3 linked regions of the Arabidopsis thaliana genome follow. Each later gene encodes a partner of the first gene's protein in a complex. Each region holds a gene or a part of one and is shown in the gene's direction. Other genes may lie near its edges. The genes, in order: CNGC17, HA1 and PSKR1.

Region 1 (5,601 bases):
ATTTTATATAATCTCATCACCAATACTTTATCCTTAAATGAAGTCTGGTTTCGCCCTTTGTTTTCTCCTCTAGTTTTCTTGTAACGCCAAACTACATTCTGTATGATCAAAATTTAGTAACATAATTTATCAGAACCCCATTGTTTTAAAACGTGTCTGTGTATTTGTGTTTATATACGCTTAATCTTCTTCTTTCTAGTTAAATTTAATCAATTTAATGAAAAATTTGGTATATAAAAAAAAAGACTTTGCTCACGAGTTCCTCTCATAAGGGCCAAAACTAGTTAAAAAGTTATCGTCAAAAACTGATATAAAAAAGATGTCCGAATATTCCCGCATATAAATATCTATCAGACAAACTCTTTTGTACAATATACTTTGAATCCGATAAATTTTCGATCTTCAAAATCCATAAAAATCTCTCCTTTATTTAGCCCTAAAACAGAGTATTAGAGTTTGATTCGTAAAAGAGAATATTTTTAATCTCCGCCGCAAGTCGATGTCGATAACGATTCCCTACGATGGCTCAATCTCCCGCGAGCCATCACCGTCTCCACCGCCGCCAAAAGCGAACACGAAGAATCTACCGACGAAGATTCTCTCTAACTTCCTCATAGGTCTAATCATGATCCCTGTAGCTATAACCGCTTTTATCTTTATCCTCACGTCTCTCGGTTTCACCTTCTTCTTCGCTTTCTACTGGTTTCTTCAACGAAACTATCGCCACCGTCTCCGCCGCCATCGCCGTCACGAATACTCAGATGGGTTATCTCCAAGATGCGTGAAGAGGCTTCCTCAATTCAAGTATTGTGAGCCTAGTTCAGAGTACGGAGGCGATGATTGTGTTGTTTGTATCGATGGATTTAGACAAGGACAGTGGTGTCGGAAGCTGCCTCGATGTGGACATGTGTTTCACCGAAAGTGTGTGGACTTGTGGTTGATTAAAGTCTCGACTTGTCCGATTTGTAGGGATAGGGTTTATAGATTTGAAGAAGGAAGAAGATGGAGACCACAAGGTGAAATTTTTTGATCGGTGGTTTTATAATTAGATTTGAAAGTGTGTTTAGTTTGTTATCATATTTAGCAGCAATTTTGGTTTTCATCAATAGTCATGTACAGTGTCTTTTTTTTTTTTTTACACGGCTTCACAATTGAAAGCTTGTTTCTTCACCGTTTGATGAATTTGATCCAATAAGAGAATGATGGGTTTCTGTAGAATTTAACTTAGTTTGAGGTTTGATTATCATGCCAATTATTAAATTCAATCTAGTCAATTACTGATAGAAATGTTGTCCATTTGTCACTTTAAACATGTTGCTTATGTTACCTTAATGATTTCTCATAATTTCACTTGAGATTCAGTGGTTAATCATCAATGTTTCTGTTTCAATTTGTCCATGATGAAGTATAAGTTCTAAGTAAAGCTTGGTTCATGTGATTTTAATTTACCTACTTCACCTCCAAAGTTATGTCAACTATGTTTTCAAGTGTGTGATTCAAAAGTTTATATTGAACATAAAAATAAAGGAGGCTAAAGAATCGTTTTCTGATTGGAATGTGAGATTGTGACTCACACGGAGAAAGTGATTGTGATTGGATCTGACTATAAGACTAAAGAAGTGTTTTTGTGAAGTAACAAGTAACATTGTCTAATTAGTGTTTTGTATTGTAAACTAATAATGACTTTGATTAACGAAATAATGTCACTTTAGTCAAATGTGTTGACTTTCTTGTCTTATACCGATGGCTCAAGTATTCCCAAGAAAAAAAAACAAATATCCCTCCGATTTCTGACTCGTCCCGTGACTCAGTGATTCTCCTCTTCCAATCCTCTCCGGAAGAACTAAACAAAAACACGATCTTTCTCAGATTTAGAGAGAGTAAGAGTGAGAGAGTGTCAGAGACACGAATCAAAGAAATGATTTTTAAAAGCTTCTGTTAATTCTAATTTGCATAGATTTGTTTACTCGAGCTTGAGCTTGAGCTTCTTCTAATGGAGTTAAGGAAGGACAAGCTTCTTATGTAAGTTTTCTTTCTCTCATCCGTCGGTTAGACTTACGTTCCTGAAAGTCTTCAACTTTGATTGCCCAGAAATTAAAAATTCTAGACTTTGCTTTAGATTTATCTCTTCTTTAGATGTTACAAGCTCAAGCTCCGATTTTGGGTACTGGGTTTAACTTAAATCTCTAGTTAGGTTTCAGATTACAGATTTGAGTTGTGTATTGCTTTGTAGGTTTTACTCAGAGGGGAAAGAAAGCAAAGAAGCTAAATGGGCAGTGAATGATCCAATGAGCAAATCTTATAAGCTCTCTTTACCTTCAGCACTAAGACCTGATAATCTCTTACCTGGAAATAGACTTAGATACACTGATGCTTCTAAGTCCAAATCTTCTAAAGTCTCATGGTACAAGACTATTCTTGATCCAGGAAGTGAGATTGTCTTGAAATGGAATTGGGTCTTCATTGTCTCATGTATGGTTGCTCTCTTCATCGACCCGTTGTACTTCTTTGTCCCAGCTATAGGAGGAGATAAAAACTATCCTTGTGCAAGGACTGATACAAGTTTAAGCATCCTTGTTACTTTCTTCAGGACAATAGCGGATCTTTTCTACTTGCTGCACATTTTCATTAAGTTTAGGACTGGTTTCATTGCGCCTAATTCAAGTACTAGAGTGTTTGGTAGAGGTGAGCTTGTGATGGATCCTAAGGCTATTGCTTGGAGGTATATTAAATCTGACTTCATCATCGATCTCATTGCGACGTTACCACTTCCACAGATAGTTATCTGGTTTGTTATATCGACTACAAAAAGTTACCGGTTTGATCATAACAACAATGCTATTGCTTTGATTGTGCTCCTCCAATACATCCCAAGATTCTATTTGATAATTCCGTTAAGTTCTCAAATTGTTAAAGCAACTGGAGTTGTTACAAAGACTGCTTGGGCTGGAGCTGCTTATAATCTTTTGCTATACATGCTGGCTAGTCATGTATGAATCCCATTCCTTCTTCTTCCATTATTTCATTCCTTAAATGTGATGATAATCAAAGCTACAATGTTTTTGTTGGGACAGGTGCTTGGTGCAGCCTGGTATATATTATCGGTTGATAGATATACATCGTGCTGGAAATCAAGATGCAATGGTGAAGCTGGCCAAGTTAATTGTCAGCTATATTACTTAGACTGTGATTCAATGTATGACAATAATCAGATGACTTGGGCAAATGTCACAAAAGTGTTTAAACTCTGTGATGCACGGAATGGCGAGTTCAAGTATGGGATCTTTGGGAATGCAATCACGAAAAACGTTGTGTCTTCACAGTTCTTCGAGAGATATTTCTACTGTTTGTGGTGGGGATTGCAGCAGCTTAGGTAATGGCAGAGATCATAGAAATTTTTTGATACCAATTATTACTCTCCTTTTGATTACAAGTTTTAGAATCTGATGACATTTTCCTGTTATTGTCATATTCTAGTTCTTATGGACAGAATTTGTCCACGACCATGTTCATGGGCGAAACCACATTTGCTGTTCTCATTGCAATCTTTGGTCTTGTCCTCTTTGCCCATCTCATTGGGAATATGCAGGTATGGATTCCTGCGTTAGGATAAGTTCTAAAAGTATCTGCTTTTGTTCTTATGTTTCTTGGGTTTTGCCTTTTGTTTGTTAGACATATCTGCAATCTTTGACTGTACGGCTTGAGGAATGGAGATTGAAGAAGAGAGACACTGAGGAGTGGATGAGACATCGTCAACTTCCTGAAGAGTTGAGAAACCGTGTGAGGCGATATGAGCAGTATAAGTGGCTTGCAACAAGAGGAGTCGATGAAGAGGTTCTCCTGCAAAGTTTACCCACTGATCTTCGCCGTGATATTCAACGTCACCTATGTTTAGATCTTGTTCGAAGAGTAAGTTTTTCTATTGATTTGTTTATCCTACAAATGGTTCAACTTTTAGGTTAACTACTATCTTGAATCATGCAGGTCCCATTTTTCTCTCAAATGGATGATCAGCTGCTTGATGCGATATGTGAGCGCCTGGTTTCTTCTCTGTGTACTGAAGGGACTTACCTTGTACGTGAAGGTGACTTGATCTCAGAGATGCTCTTCATCATCAGAGGTAGACTCGAGAGTTCCACAACCAATGGAGGCAGAACCGGTTTCTTCAACTCGATTATACTTAGACCTGGAGATTTCTGTGGGGAAGAGCTTCTTTCTTGGGCTTTGCTTCCAAAATCAACCTTGAATTTACCATCTTCTACAAGAACAGTTAGGGCTTTAGTTGAAGTCGAAGCATTCGCTCTTCGAGCTGAAGATTTGAAATTTGTTGCAAATCAGTTTAGGCGGTTACACAGCAAGAAGCTTCAACATACATTCAGATTCTACTCTCACCATTGGAGAACTTGGGCTGCTTGCTTCATACAAGCGGCTTGGCGCAGGTACAAGAGAAGAGTTATGGAGAATAACCTCACTGCGATTGAATCAATGGAAAATGAAGAAGGAGAAGTAGGAGAAGAATTAGTAGTAGTAGAAGAAGAAGAGTGTGTTGAGGAGAGTCCTAGAACAAAGATGAACCTTGGAGTTATGGTTTTGGCATCGCGTTTTGCAGCTAATACAAGACGCGGTGTTGCAGCTCAGAGAGTTAAGGATGTAGAATTACCCCGGTTTAAGAAACCCGAGGAGCCTGATTTCTCTGCTGAGCATGATGATTGACTGATGTATAACCAGGAGAAGAAGCTGACTTTGTTCCATAGAAGATCTTAATGACAAGAACACTACAGAGTAAGTTTCCTGTTCCTTTGGGAGACATAAAGAAAGAAACTCAAGGCGGGTTTTGGTTTGTACACTTAAACATCTTTTGTAATATAAGCTTGGAGAATTAGTTTTGTTGTACTATTAAAGAACTCGTTTCTAAATTCTCTAAATGTAAAGATGAGGAAGTTGAAGTGGATTATGTACAAATCACATCAAACCTTGCAAAATTGATTGAACCAACAAGGAAGTAAAAAGATGTCTAAGCCCATTCGTCAAAGCCCCTATATGCCGTGGTTACTGACTTACTGTAACGTTGAGAATAAGATGGTAAAGAAAGAAAAAATATATTTTCTTGAGCATGTTGCATATTGCTATCGACACAAGCTTCTTTTTAAAGAAAGGTAGACTCACTTAATCAATAGACATAAGATCATACTAATGATGAGTTTGGACTTTGGTCCATGGGAAAAAGTTAAAATGTTTACTTGCTTTCTCTACTGACCTAGATATGTCGGATCAAATCATAATCTACATTACAGGATTACATACATATTTGGGATTTTTCTTTTTGCAATATGGCCACAAGACCAGCTCAATGTAATCATGGATTCTTAGTCGATTTAAAAAGTTGTAAATATTTTAAACTAACATATTGAAAAGTTTCTGAAAATTTCTTGTCCCATATAATATACAAATAAATTTTATGGTCTTGAATGACAATAACAATATAGTATGGCACAAGAAGTTAGATTGAACGGAAACTGAATCATGAAAACAATGGTTTTCAACAATCATAATTATAGTAACATATATTAATATTTTGAATCGTTTATTAATATGTGAAAT
Region 2 (7,913 bases), on another chromosome or scaffold:
AACTTTTTGAAATCCTAAAAAAAAAAGCATACACATTTAAATAAATACTTTTATGTATTTACCTATGAAAGTTAAATTGATTTTGTCTATCAGATACATAAATGATCAAATAATAAATGAGAAAAACCTGCCCATATGTGCCGATATATATCCAGTTGAATTAAACCATCATCTTCTTGTTTCTTTGTTTTTAAAATTCTCTTATGAAATCGATCTTTTAGATAAAATACAATCGAATTTATGGAAGCAAGAAAAAAAAATTACGTAGGGGAGGTGTATTATTGGGGGACCCAGCACGATCAAAAAGTCAATATTCATCAGCCAATTTGCTGAATAAATAAATAAATAACCTTGAAAACAATTTTTGGTTAAATTACAAAAATAATGATATCCACAAACATGTGAATTGTTCCAGCAATTGCTGACCTTGCCATGAGGCACCTTGGAAGAGCCATTGCTTCATTACAATCCTTTAAAGCCATAAATATGAGATTAGGATTACCAAAATTTCACATATAACAAATTGTTTTATATCATTACTAGCTTAATATGTGTTTTATTATAGTTTTAGATCGACGTCATCTGAATATTTTCCCCCAAACTCCTAAATTTTATAATCTGTGTCTAAACCTAATTTTATATTTCAAAACATCCCTTTTTCTGGAAGAAACTTGTCTTTTAATTTTTTTTTTTTTTTTCACACTTGTCTTTTAATTTCCTTAAGAGACCAAATCAAGTTAATTTAGTGTACTCACCACCTTTAAAACAGGTCAAGTTAATTTATTTGAACATCAGTAATAAATTTATGAACATCTCTTTTCAACATCGGTATTCTTAAATAGTGTTTTAGAATCGTCATTTTAACTTTATGTTTCACTAAACTTAGAAAATATTTAGTTTTTTTTATCTCAATTAGTAATTATCATTTAAATTTTTATTTTCTCGGTTTCTACTTCGCCACTATTATTTAACATATTATTAAACAAATTAGTATTATACGGGTTGATTTTAATTTTCCAATTACAAATTAATTAAAATTCAACTTTTTGATTGGTTGTATAATCCGAAGGAAAAATGTTTACATACGAATTGTTTTAAAAACACTTTGATTTAAAAGTCCGACCTAAACAATCAACATGAAAATTAAACTTATGAGCAAATTAGGTTGATCTAGAAAATAACTTTTGCATTTGTCTCATAGGGAATTATAAAGTTAGTATCTACACACATATATCAAATATACATGTTATATCTATATTACTCTCTCTCTCTCTCTCTCTCTCTCTCTATATATATATATATATATATATATGTATATTCACAAATCCATGTATGTATTTTAAATTTTGTTTGTTTTTTTTTTCCTTCAAAATGAGTAACTTATATAGAAGTCATTAAGATTAGCTTTGCACAACTCTTTGGGAACAAAAAAGAACCCAAATTTTAAGCATTATTCAATGTTCATATAATTATTATGTATATTATTTTTCCTTATTGATTATCAATTTTATATACACAAAAAGATATCAGTGAAGAACTTATGATTGTGCATATTTTCTGTCCATACATAACCACAATATTAATCAAAAATTTAAATTTATCTTAGATATTTTTCTTATGATAATTCAATACTGTATAATTTTTTAAAATCTATACATTACAGTTTTGTCTTTTAAATCATATTCTAATATGCATAAATATCTAGAAAAATACTAACTCCATAGAATTAAATTTCTTATGTAAGTTTAGTATATTATCCTAAATTTGTGTTAATGTTAAGATTTCTACTAAATTTGATACTCAAAAGTAAAAAGTTTCTCTTAATAGAAAAAAATAAATATAGATTCTCTTACATTACAGGATCAGAGTATAAAACCAGTTTAAGTAAACAATGTTTCAAAAAACAGTATGATATCTGAAATTTTAATTATAAAACCAAAAATCCAAAGTCAAATATACGTTTTCCAAGTGAGAAAGGACCCATAAACAATTAACAACCATTGATGATCACCAAATCATAATCAACGGTCGAAATGAATGAAAAATAAAAGTCTGAAACGGTGGAGAGTTTCGTCGTTTTGAGTGGTTATAAAAAGAGAAGGCGTATATCTCCTCTGCAACAGAAGCTCGCTTTCTCTCTCTCTCTCTCGTGTGTGTGTGTGTGATCGAGTGGTGAAACGACAGAGAGGGGCGTCGTTTTGTTGATTTCTTCTGGGTGAAGATGTCAGGTCTCGAAGATATCAAGAACGAGACCGTTGATCTGGTATTATTTCGATTCTCTTCTCGCTTAAATTCTTCGAGTTTTTAATTTCATTTTTAGTGTTTATTCATCATGCCCACAAAGTGTTCGATGATTTGCTTGAATGAGAAATAGATCTGTTTCGTTGTTGTTCCTTGCATGGTTTCACGTTTGATTCTTTTACCCTTTTTTCTTCAAATCATTTTCCGATGATTCTACTCCTTTTTTCTTTGATCGAAAACTGAATCTTAATTCCTCAAGAACCCGAAAAATCCGCAAAAAAAAAAAAAACCGATTTTTCCCCCCAATTGTATCTGCCTCATTTTCGATGATTCTATCATGGATCCTATACAAAACCCAAATCAAGATTCCAACTTTATTAATTTTGGTCTAAAATTAGGGTAAAATAACAGATGTCTTTTAAAGGTTTTAGGTATTAAGCCAAAAATAAGTAGATTTTGATACTGTTCATCAGAAAAAGTAGATCTACCCAAAAACTACACACATGTGAAACGCTGAATAAAAAGATAAGTCTTTTTAGTGGTGGAGCTAAGCTTAAGCTACGTCTCAACAAAAGTCTCTTTCACATATTTATTAAAAGAGAAAAAAATCGCAAAAAGTTTGATTTTGCTTGTGATATATAACTTTCTTTCTCTAAAAAAAATCATCTTTTTTTTGTAAAGATAACGTTTTTGATGTTAAAGCAGTTCATAATATTCTTCTATCTTCCACCCATGAAAAATACCAGAGTTTTTAATAAATTTAAGTTTTCAACTTTTTTTTAAATTGTTGTTGATGTTCGAATTTTTTTGATGTACCTTTCCGTAGTACGTTTTTTTTTTTTTTGAACTTCTTTGTCCTTTTGTAAAACATCTATCAGTAGAAGCAACTTGTGAATTCCTCTATTGTAATTGATTTTGTTTAGTGAAATTGTTTTATGACCGAAATACCCTTAACCGGACTTTGGCTTTCACGCCGGAAAGTAGCCACCTTTCATGGAGGGAATCCCGCAGGCGCGTGTGTTACACGTTCCATAACACGTGCATTGAAGTAGTAGTAGTAGTGGTGGTGGTGGTGGTGGTCCCTCTATCCTCCACTGCCAGATTCTTTTCACCTTTCATTGTCACAACTTGAGTCAACGCCACTCTTCATCTTCCGAGTCGCCGAGTTGGATCGTTTCTGACATTTGTAAAAAGATTTCAAAACTAGAAAAGTTTTTGTCTTTTTTACCCTTTTGTTCTTGTTTGATGTTTGAGTTACTATTGTTTGGGTTCTGATCAAAACTTTTGCTTTGATTCTCAGGAAAAAATTCCGATTGAGGAAGTTTTCCAGCAGCTAAAATGTACAAGGGAAGGATTGACAACGCAGGAAGGGGAAGACAGGATTGTGATATTTGGCCCCAACAAGCTCGAAGAGAAGAAGGTTTGAGTTTGACTTAGCATTGTTGTTTTATCATCATTGAAAGCTTTGGTTTTGTTTAACTCACGAGGTTGATCTTTCGTAAAAAAATATCAGGAAAGCAAAATTCTGAAGTTTCTGGGGTTCATGTGGAATCCGCTTTCATGGGTTATGGAAGCTGCAGCTCTCATGGCCATTGCTTTGGCTAATGGTGATAATCGACCTCCGGATTGGCAAGATTTTGTGGGTATTATCTGTCTGCTTGTTATCAACTCCACAATCAGTTTCATTGAAGAAAACAACGCCGGAAATGCTGCAGCTGCTCTCATGGCTGGTCTTGCTCCTAAAACCAAGGTAATATGTTGGTGGATGCTGTGACATTACTGTACAAGATATTTCGAGACTTCTAGAGAGCTTAACCTGTTTCTCTGTTTTCAGGTTCTTAGGGATGGAAAATGGAGTGAACAAGAGGCTGCTATCCTTGTCCCAGGTGATATTGTTAGCATTAAACTTGGAGACATTATCCCAGCCGATGCCCGTCTTCTTGAAGGAGATCCTTTAAAGGTTGATCAGTCTGCTCTAACTGGAGAGTCCCTTCCTGTGACCAAGCACCCTGGTCAAGAAGTTTTCTCTGGTTCAACTTGTAAACAAGGAGAAATCGAAGCGGTTGTTATAGCCACTGGAGTTCACACCTTCTTTGGTAAAGCTGCTCACCTTGTGGACAGCACTAACCAAGTTGGGCACTTCCAGAAAGTTCTTACATCCATTGGAAACTTCTGTATCTGTTCTATTGCTATTGGTATAGCGATTGAAATAGTCGTCATGTACCCTATCCAACACCGAAAGTACAGAGATGGAATTGACAATCTCTTGGTCCTCTTGATCGGTGGTATCCCCATTGCTATGCCCACGGTCTTGTCTGTGACTATGGCTATCGGGTCTCACAGGTTGTCTCAGCAAGGTGCTATCACCAAACGTATGACAGCCATTGAAGAAATGGCGGGAATGGATGTCCTTTGCAGTGACAAAACCGGGACACTAACCCTTAATAAATTGAGTGTGGATAAAAACTTGGTTGAGGTTTTCTGCAAGGGTGTGGAGAAAGATCAAGTTCTACTATTTGCAGCTATGGCTTCTAGGGTGGAGAACCAGGACGCTATTGATGCAGCCATGGTTGGAATGCTTGCTGATCCGAAAGAGGTATAACTCTAATCATTTTGAATTACTTCTTTAGTTTAGTGAAAGGTCGAGAAAACAAGTTCTTAATTTCTTATGTTTCACTTGGATTTTCATAGGCCCGAGCTGGAATCAGAGAGGTTCACTTCCTTCCATTCAACCCTGTGGATAAGAGAACTGCTTTGACTTACATCGACTCTGATGGTAACTGGCACAGAGTCAGCAAAGGTGCTCCCGAGCAGGTGATGAATCTTCAACTTTCTCCTAAAGATGTTGCGTTTTTCCTTTATTCTGTGTACTAATTCGATTCTCCCACACAGATCCTTGACCTTGCCAATGCCAGGCCTGACCTTAGGAAGAAGGTACTCTCTTGTATTGACAAGTACGCTGAGCGCGGTCTTAGGTCGTTGGCAGTAGCTCGTCAGGTACTTTTTTACAAGCAATTTTTACATTGGTCTTATTTGGGTTTTTTTTTTGGCCTGTAAATCAACTGTTTAATTGCATATTCCTTTTTAGGTGGTACCCGAGAAAACAAAAGAAAGCCCAGGTGGACCATGGGAATTTGTTGGCTTGTTGCCTCTTTTTGACCCTCCAAGACACGACAGTGCCGAAACCATTCGTAGGGCGTTGAATCTAGGTGTTAATGTGAAGATGATCACTGGTAACTATTCTTATTCATCATTTTTTTCCCATGAAATCCATGGTTATTTAGATGTTTTCCCCTAACTTGCGCTCTAACTACGTTGCCAGGTGATCAACTTGCTATTGGTAAGGAAACCGGTCGCAGGCTTGGAATGGGAACCAATATGTATCCATCTGCGGCTCTTCTCGGTACCGACAAGGACTCGAACATTGCATCCATCCCTGTTGAGGAGTTGATCGAGAAGGCTGATGGGTTTGCCGGCGTCTTTCCAGGTTATGCCTTGCTTTCAGTTTCAAACCTCATCACATGTTCATTATAAAGTTTTGTTATATTGATCCAAGGTTCTTATGGTTACTGATTGCAGAGCACAAATATGAAATTGTGAAAAAGCTGCAGGAGAGGAAGCACATTGTTGGTATGACCGGTGATGGTGTTAATGATGCACCCGCTTTGAAGAAAGCAGATATCGGTATTGCTGTGGCCGATGCTACAGATGCTGCTCGTGGTGCTTCAGATATCGTCCTCACGGAACCTGGGCTGAGTGTCATCATCAGTGCCGTTCTCACTAGCAGAGCTATCTTCCAGAGAATGAAGAACTACACCGTGCGTATTCTTAATCTCACTCTAATATATTATGCCCACCACTTGTGTTCGTTTGCGCTGGAAACTAATAATTTTAGTTTCCTGCTTGTGACAGATTTATGCAGTCTCAATCACAATCCGTATTGTGGTAAGTAGAAACCCGTTTTACAAATCTATCACTTGTTTAGCATGATTTTACTTTTTGTATACTGATCATATTGCGTTGTAACTCTTGCAGTTTGGTTTCATGCTTATTGCTTTGATATGGGAATTTGACTTCTCAGCGTTCATGGTTCTGATTATTGCCATCCTTAATGATGGTGAGCAAATAACATCCTACTTTTCTAGACAGCGTCCTCACTCGTTATCAGCTATATCTTATGGTATTATGTGTTACTACCTTTTAGGTACTATCATGACAATCTCAAAGGACAGAGTCAAGCCATCTCCCACACCTGATAGCTGGAAGCTCAAAGAAATTTTCGCCACTGGAATTGTGCTGGGAGGCTACCAAGCCATTATGAGTGTTATTTTCTTCTGGGCTGCTCACAAGACCGACTTTTTCTCGGTACATCATCAGTTTATTTTCATTTCTTTTCTCTTTTTTTTGGTACAGGTGCTTCAGGGACTATATAGATATATATGGCCAGGCCTTTTGCTCTGAGTCTTAAAAAATTGTCTCACCTTCGATTTGCAGGACAAGTTCGGTGTGAGGTCAATCAGGGACAATAACGATGAACTAATGGGTGCTGTGTATCTACAAGTTAGTATCATCAGTCAAGCTCTAATCTTTGTCACCAGGTCAAGGAGTTGGTCATTTGTCGAACGTCCTGGGGCGCTTCTGATGATTGCATTCGTCATTGCACAACTGGTAAGGACATCAAGCACACATATTTTCTGAACTTCGATTAGGTTAAAGAAACCCACTGAATTCATTCACTCCTTCCAAATGCAGGTTGCAACTTTGATCGCAGTGTATGCCGACTGGACATTTGCAAAGGTGAAGGGTATCGGTTGGGGATGGGCAGGTGTGATTTGGATTTACAGTATCGTAACATACTTCCCACAGGACATTTTGAAGTTTGCCATTCGGTATATCTTGAGTGGAAAGGCTTGGGCCAGCTTGTTTGACAACAGGGTACATACAAGTCTATCTACCACTATAGAGACCTCTTTTACAAGCTGATGGTAACATACTAATCACATCTTCTTCTATGTTAACAGACCGCTTTCACAACCAAGAAAGATTACGGTATTGGAGAAAGAGAAGCTCAATGGGCACAAGCTCAAAGGACATTGCACGGTCTGCAGCCAAAAGAAGATGTTAATATCTTCCCAGAGAAAGGAAGTTACAGAGAGCTGTCTGAGATCGCAGAGCAAGCCAAGAGAAGGGCCGAGATAGCTAGGTAAGTAGTGTGATTAAAACGAATCTCAACGGAAAGATGCCATTTGATAGAGGTTCTGATTGGTGAATGATTTAATATTATGTTGTGACAGGCTTAGGGAGCTTCACACATTGAAGGGACATGTGGAATCAGTCGCAAAGCTAAAGGGATTGGACATTGATACAGCAGGACATCACTACACTGTGTAGTTGGAGTTGCACAACAACACAAACATTTACCGAAAACCAACCCCATCATGACTCATCTTTTGTTTTGTCTTCACAAATCTCTCTTTAAAAGTCATTACAGTAGAGGGAAGAGAACTCTTGTGTATTGCCATAACTCTTCCAAAACTCTTTTTTCTTTTTGTTATTGTTAGTCATTGTTCTTAAAACTCCTACTCGATATGAGCTTTGCAAATTTGCCTTTGAAGAAACAAGGCCCTTTGCCTTTGAAGAGACAAGGCACTTTGCTTTTTAATGGCCTAATG
Region 3 (6,121 bases), on another chromosome or scaffold:
CTATAATAAACTATAAAACTTAGTAAGTCAATTTTCAGAAGAAAAAAAGAACCTATAAAAGACTAACGAAAGCCGATTATATCGAAGCCATTACGAGCCACATGGTATTGAAGATTAATTATAGAGTTGAATAGTCGATGTCACATGCTTTGACTGTCTCCTTCATTATAGATATCGACATTAATATTTTATTATTAACATGGAATCGTATCTTAACTTTTCCACGTAAAACAATATTTAATCTCTTTATGAAAGATCATGCACACACTAGGAAAACTATATAAGTGATTTCTTATATGGTAAACCAACTTTGAATGTAGGCTAATTAGTTTATTAAGCAATATAGTCTTTTATGTCTATGTTCAATTCACCATTCACCCATATTGTCCTCATTTACTTATAAATCAAGTAAACCATCAAAGAAAGTTGTGTAAACAGCCTATTTTTCTTTAAGAAATAAATCATGGCAAGAAAATGTGAGACTTTTTGGTTTTATTTTGTTAAAATGACAATCTATTATCCTTTTCTTTTTTTCGAACAATCTATAACGTGTATATTACTACAAAGGTATAAGAGAATCCATTTTTTAACTGCCAAGATTAATTTTTTTTTTTCGATTCTTTCCAATTAATTAATAACGGATTCTATCGACAAAATTTAGGATAGCGTTACATATAAAAGTAATATTAACGCATCCTAAATTTGTCGTTTTTAAAAGAAAAAAGTATTAACGACAAAAAATAATCCTTTAGCAATGAAAATTGGTGATAAAAAAACTGAAGAAAAAAGCAATGAAATTTATGTTCCTATACCGACTATTTTTTAGTTTCTTTTATATAAAATATAAAATAGTTTATATATAACCGTTCTTTTATTTTTTTATCGTCTACAACTCACATACGTTACACTTTTATAGTTATACTTCTAAATTAGAAGTCAAGTTATTGTATAGTGATATTATAAACTTCAAGTTATACAAGTCCGGTCATATGAAATTAATATTAGTAATTTGATTGGAATTATAACGTATTGATTTGGACATGTAAATAGCTAAAAAAAAATAGCTCCTATATTAGATTCTTTTAACCAACAAATACAACAATTAAGTTGATAACCTTCCTCTTTGAAGTATTTCAAGATTTTATGGAAAAAACTCAAGATTTTTTTCCGAAGCTTTTATCGGAAACTAAAGAATATCTAGTAGGTCTATTTTCATTCATTATCAACTTGCGAAAAAAGAGAAACAATGTCAATAATTAATGTAAATAGAAAAAAAAAAAAATTGTAGTTGAGAAGAGAGAGAGATGCAAAGGTGTCAACGTCCGTGCTTTGACTTCTATCTTTTCTCTTGTCCTCATCTTAAATCCTCAAAGCTGACCTAACCGGTCACTCCCTTCTTCTCCGGTCATCTTTAATTATTATTCAATTAACCCATAATCAAATTTTAATATAAAAATTAACCATTTGCAAAATAAAATCAATATAATTAATAAAAGCTACTCCTTTACCTTTTTATTGCATAGAAACTACTAAAATATAAATCTACCATTTGCAGAATAATCGGCAAAAAACCATAAAGAAACATTTATAGTCACATAATTTTGCATATATTTTTCTAAATTCGATCACTTTCATCATTCATTATTCATTAATCGTTCCAAATTTTCTTCTGCCTATCCGTTGAACGACAAACTATTCAAAGTAAAAGATTTAGACAAAAAAATAAAAAAAATATTTAGAGAAAGACTTTCCTAAGTCAATGTTATTGATTAAGACTTCATATATGACTAAACACACTCAATTATAATTGACAAAACACGGAAAAGATTTGTCTATAACAAATTTTCCAAAAACACAAATTAATTCACAAAATATTTGGAAAAATAATATTTATTCAAAGCTTCTTATTTCTTCTTCTTCTTTATTTAAAGATTTTTACTGTTTGCTCTGTATCAGAAAAAAGACCAAACACAACTCTTCCACTTTCTATCTCTCTCTAGAATTTTGCTTGCATTAAAACAACACCCACTACTTGCTGTTGCGTGTTGAAGTCAAAAGTCGCCATTTTTCTCTCTCTTGCTTCTTCATCTTCATTGATCATCATCTAAAATGGCAATAATCAGAAAACCCGTTTCGTATACTCTCAGATTTCTCAAGGGTTTTTGTTGAATCTTAATTCTTCTCTCAAAGTTTCTTCCTTTATATTCTTCTTCTTCTTCCTCTGTTCTTGAAATGCGTGTTCATCGTTTTTGTGTGATCGTCATCTTCCTCACAGAGTTACTATGTTTCTTCTATTCCTCGGAATCTCAGACCACCTCCAGGTGCCATCCACATGACCTCGAAGCCTTACGTGACTTCATAGCACATCTCGAACCAAAACCAGATGGTTGGATCAATTCTTCTTCTTCTACAGACTGCTGCAACTGGACCGGAATCACCTGCAATTCAAACAACACCGGAAGAGTTATTAGATTGGAGCTTGGGAACAAAAAGCTGTCGGGGAAGTTGTCTGAATCTCTCGGGAAGCTAGATGAGATTAGGGTTCTTAATCTCTCTCGAAACTTCATCAAAGATTCGATCCCTCTTTCGATTTTCAACTTGAAGAATCTACAAACTCTTGATTTGAGCTCTAATGATCTCTCCGGCGGAATCCCAACAAGTATAAATCTCCCAGCTCTGCAAAGTTTTGATCTTTCTTCAAATAAATTCAATGGGTCGCTTCCGTCTCATATCTGCCATAACTCTACTCAAATTAGGGTTGTGAAACTTGCGGTGAACTACTTCGCCGGAAACTTCACTTCCGGGTTTGGGAAATGTGTCTTGCTTGAGCATCTCTGTCTTGGTATGAACGATCTTACTGGTAACATCCCTGAGGATTTGTTTCATCTCAAAAGATTGAATCTTTTAGGGATTCAAGAGAATCGTCTCTCTGGTTCGTTGAGTCGTGAGATTAGGAATCTCTCAAGTCTTGTTCGTCTTGATGTTTCTTGGAATTTGTTTTCCGGTGAAATCCCTGATGTGTTCGACGAATTGCCTCAGTTAAAGTTTTTCTTAGGTCAGACCAATGGATTCATTGGAGGAATACCTAAATCGTTGGCGAATTCACCGAGTTTGAATCTGCTTAACTTGAGGAACAATTCTTTATCGGGTCGTTTGATGTTGAATTGTACGGCGATGATTGCTTTGAACTCTCTTGATTTAGGTACCAATAGATTCAATGGGAGGTTACCTGAGAATCTACCGGATTGCAAGCGGTTAAAGAACGTTAACCTCGCGAGGAACACCTTCCATGGACAAGTACCAGAGAGTTTCAAGAACTTCGAGAGCTTATCTTACTTCTCGTTATCGAATTCGAGTTTGGCTAATATCTCTTCAGCGCTTGGGATACTTCAGCATTGCAAGAACTTGACGACTTTGGTTCTTACATTGAATTTCCATGGAGAGGCTTTACCCGATGATTCAAGTCTTCATTTCGAGAAGCTTAAGGTGCTTGTAGTGGCGAATTGTAGGCTTACTGGTTCGATGCCGAGGTGGTTAAGCTCGAGTAATGAACTTCAGTTGTTGGATCTTTCTTGGAACCGTTTAACCGGCGCTATCCCGAGCTGGATTGGTGACTTCAAGGCTCTGTTCTACTTGGATTTATCTAACAACTCGTTTACAGGAGAGATCCCTAAGAGCTTAACTAAGTTAGAGAGTCTCACTAGCCGTAATATCTCAGTCAATGAGCCATCTCCTGATTTCCCGTTCTTTATGAAAAGAAACGAGAGCGCGAGAGCGTTGCAATACAATCAGATTTTCGGGTTCCCGCCAACGATTGAGCTTGGTCATAACAATCTCTCTGGACCTATTTGGGAGGAGTTTGGTAATCTGAAGAAGCTTCATGTGTTTGATTTGAAATGGAATGCATTATCTGGATCAATACCTAGCTCGCTTTCTGGTATGACGAGCTTGGAAGCTCTTGATCTCTCTAATAACCGTCTTTCGGGTTCGATCCCGGTTTCTCTGCAACAGCTCTCGTTTCTGTCGAAGTTCAGTGTTGCTTATAACAATCTCTCGGGAGTAATACCTTCCGGTGGTCAGTTTCAGACGTTTCCAAACTCGAGCTTTGAGAGTAACCATCTCTGCGGGGAACACAGATTCCCCTGTTCTGAAGGTACTGAGAGTGCATTGATCAAACGGTCAAGAAGAAGCAGAGGAGGTGACATTGGAATGGCGATTGGGATAGCGTTTGGTTCGGTTTTTCTTTTGACTCTTCTCTCGTTGATTGTGTTGCGTGCTCGTAGACGGTCAGGAGAAGTTGATCCGGAGATAGAAGAATCCGAGAGCATGAATCGTAAAGAACTCGGAGAGATTGGATCTAAGCTTGTGGTTTTGTTTCAGAGCAATGATAAAGAGCTCTCTTATGATGACCTTTTGGACTCAACAAATAGTTTTGATCAAGCTAACATCATTGGCTGTGGCGGGTTTGGTATGGTTTACAAAGCAACGTTACCAGACGGTAAGAAAGTTGCGATCAAGAAGTTATCCGGTGATTGCGGTCAAATCGAAAGAGAATTCGAAGCAGAAGTTGAAACACTCTCAAGAGCACAGCATCCAAATCTTGTTCTTCTCCGAGGATTCTGTTTCTACAAAAACGACCGGCTTTTAATCTACTCGTATATGGAAAACGGAAGCTTAGACTATTGGCTACACGAGCGTAACGACGGTCCAGCGTTGTTGAAGTGGAAAACACGTCTTAGAATCGCTCAAGGTGCTGCAAAAGGGTTACTTTACTTGCATGAAGGGTGTGATCCTCATATCTTACACCGCGATATTAAATCGAGTAATATTCTTCTCGACGAGAATTTCAACTCTCATTTAGCGGATTTCGGACTCGCAAGGCTGATGAGTCCTTACGAGACGCATGTAAGTACTGATTTGGTTGGAACTTTAGGTTACATTCCTCCGGAATACGGGCAAGCTTCGGTTGCTACTTACAAAGGCGATGTGTATAGTTTCGGAGTTGTGCTTCTCGAGCTTTTAACCGATAAAAGACCGGTGGATATGTGTAAACCGAAAGGGTGTAGGGATCTGATCTCGTGGGTCGTCAAGATGAAGCATGAGAGTCGAGCAAGCGAGGTTTTCGATCCGTTAATATACAGTAAAGAGAATGATAAAGAGATGTTTCGGGTTCTCGAGATTGCTTGTTTATGTTTAAGCGAAAACCCGAAACAGAGGCCAACGACTCAACAGTTAGTCTCTTGGCTTGATGATGTCTAGAAGAAAGAGGAACAATATCAGAGACACTATGATACATTTTGTAGGGAGTGATTTTCATACTTTTGAGATACAATGTAAATAGTTTTCAGATAATAATTTGTTTCTTCGTTTTCTTCTTCCATTTTTTTTATCTCAGTTTATGATTCAGATTCAGACATTAAAGATACTAGACAGAACATATACTGTCTCAGAAAAATGAAAAATCTTTTTGTAGTGTTTCAGAAATAATGAGTTCTTGAAAAAACATGTCTCAAGCAATTTAAATGAGCAACATAGATTAATAATTTGTGTTACATCTTTATTCTGTGATTTGCTTTGTGGATACTCTGTTGATTATGTTATACCTTTTAGAGATTTTTGGTTTAATTAAAAAATATATATATTTGGTAGCTAAATTCCTTTTGGTCTTCAACAAAAGAATTCCTTTTGGCCAACTATAGTCAATTTTTTGTTAAGAATCCATTACATTAACTTATTTTTTATGGGTGTGAAAATATTGTTCAACTCATTTGACCAAAAGAATTCAAAGATTATGACTTTGTAAGGTCAAAATATAATATTTGCTTCATTAGAAAGGTTTTCTATATATCGATTTCTCAGTCCCCAAAGACCACAAATTTATAGATTAGTACGCTTCCTATAATGGTTCCTTAAAAATTTTCAAAGATTGACTACAGATTCGATAGTGAAGATGTTCACTTCTGGCTTTTCTTCCACACTACATGAAAACAGCCAAAAATATAACAAATAAAATACAAGGAAAAAGAAAAAGAGCATTAAAAGTTTAAAACTTATGTATGATGATAAATATAAAAAAAAATATCGAAAAATGCATAAACTTTTAAATTTGAGACAAAAAAGC

Evidence for each region.
Region 2: CNGC17 (region 1) and HA1 share a complex: the UniProt entries of both Arabidopsis thaliana proteins name them as parts of the functional complex.
Region 3: CNGC17 (region 1) and PSKR1 share a complex: the UniProt entries of both Arabidopsis thaliana proteins name them as parts of the functional complex.

The regions. Positions count from the first base shown.
Region 1 is NC_003075.7:14,854,172-14,859,772, reverse strand, and holds CNGC17 (cyclic nucleotide-gated channel 17), read left to right. Parts: upstream 1-1,753; 5' UTR 1,754-1,993; coding exon 1,994-2,022; intron 2,023-2,233; coding exon 2,234-2,990; intron 2,991-3,074; coding exon 3,075-3,373; intron 3,374-3,477; coding exon 3,478-3,589; intron 3,590-3,672; coding exon 3,673-3,909; intron 3,910-3,984; coding exon 3,985-4,713; 3' UTR 4,714-5,079; downstream 5,080-5,601. Other genes in the region: AT4G30370 (RING/U-box superfamily protein), read left to right, coding at 500-1,030. UniProt on the Arabidopsis thaliana protein: Probable cyclic nucleotide-gated ion channel. Forms a functional cation-translocating unit with AHAs that is activated by PSKR1/BAK1 and possibly other BAK1/RLK complexes. Required for PSK-induced protoplast expansion.
Region 2 is NC_003071.7:8,219,637-8,227,549, forward strand, and holds the start of HA1 (H[+]-ATPase 1), read left to right. Parts: upstream 1-1,877; 5' UTR 1,878-2,221; coding exon 2,222-2,263; intron 2,264-2,516; exon of another isoform or gene 2,517-3,541; coding exon 3,542-3,661; intron 3,662-3,754; coding exon 3,755-3,991; intron 3,992-4,075; coding exon 4,076-4,837; intron 4,838-4,932; coding exon 4,933-5,055; intron 5,056-5,133; coding exon 5,134-5,238; intron 5,239-5,329; coding exon 5,330-5,474; intron 5,475-5,563; coding exon 5,564-5,728; intron 5,729-5,820; coding exon 5,821-6,059; intron 6,060-6,153; coding exon 6,154-6,186; intron 6,187-6,276; coding exon 6,277-6,358; intron 6,359-6,445; coding exon 6,446-6,606; intron 6,607-6,735; coding exon 6,736-6,909; intron 6,910-6,993; coding exon 6,994-7,176; intron 7,177-7,262; coding exon 7,263-7,444; intron 7,445-7,535; coding exon 7,536-7,632; 3' UTR 7,633-7,913. UniProt on the Arabidopsis thaliana protein: The plasma membrane H(+) ATPase of plants and fungi generates a proton gradient that drives the active transport of nutrients by H(+)-symport. The resulting external acidification and/or internal alkinization may mediate growth responses.
Region 3 is NC_003071.7:583,236-589,356, reverse strand, and holds PSKR1 (phytosulfokin receptor 1), read left to right. Parts: upstream 1-1,955; 5' UTR 1,956-2,232; coding exon 2,233-5,259; 3' UTR 5,260-5,560; downstream 5,561-6,121. UniProt on the Arabidopsis thaliana protein: Phytosulfokine receptor with both a serine/threonine-protein kinase activity and a guanylate cyclase activity.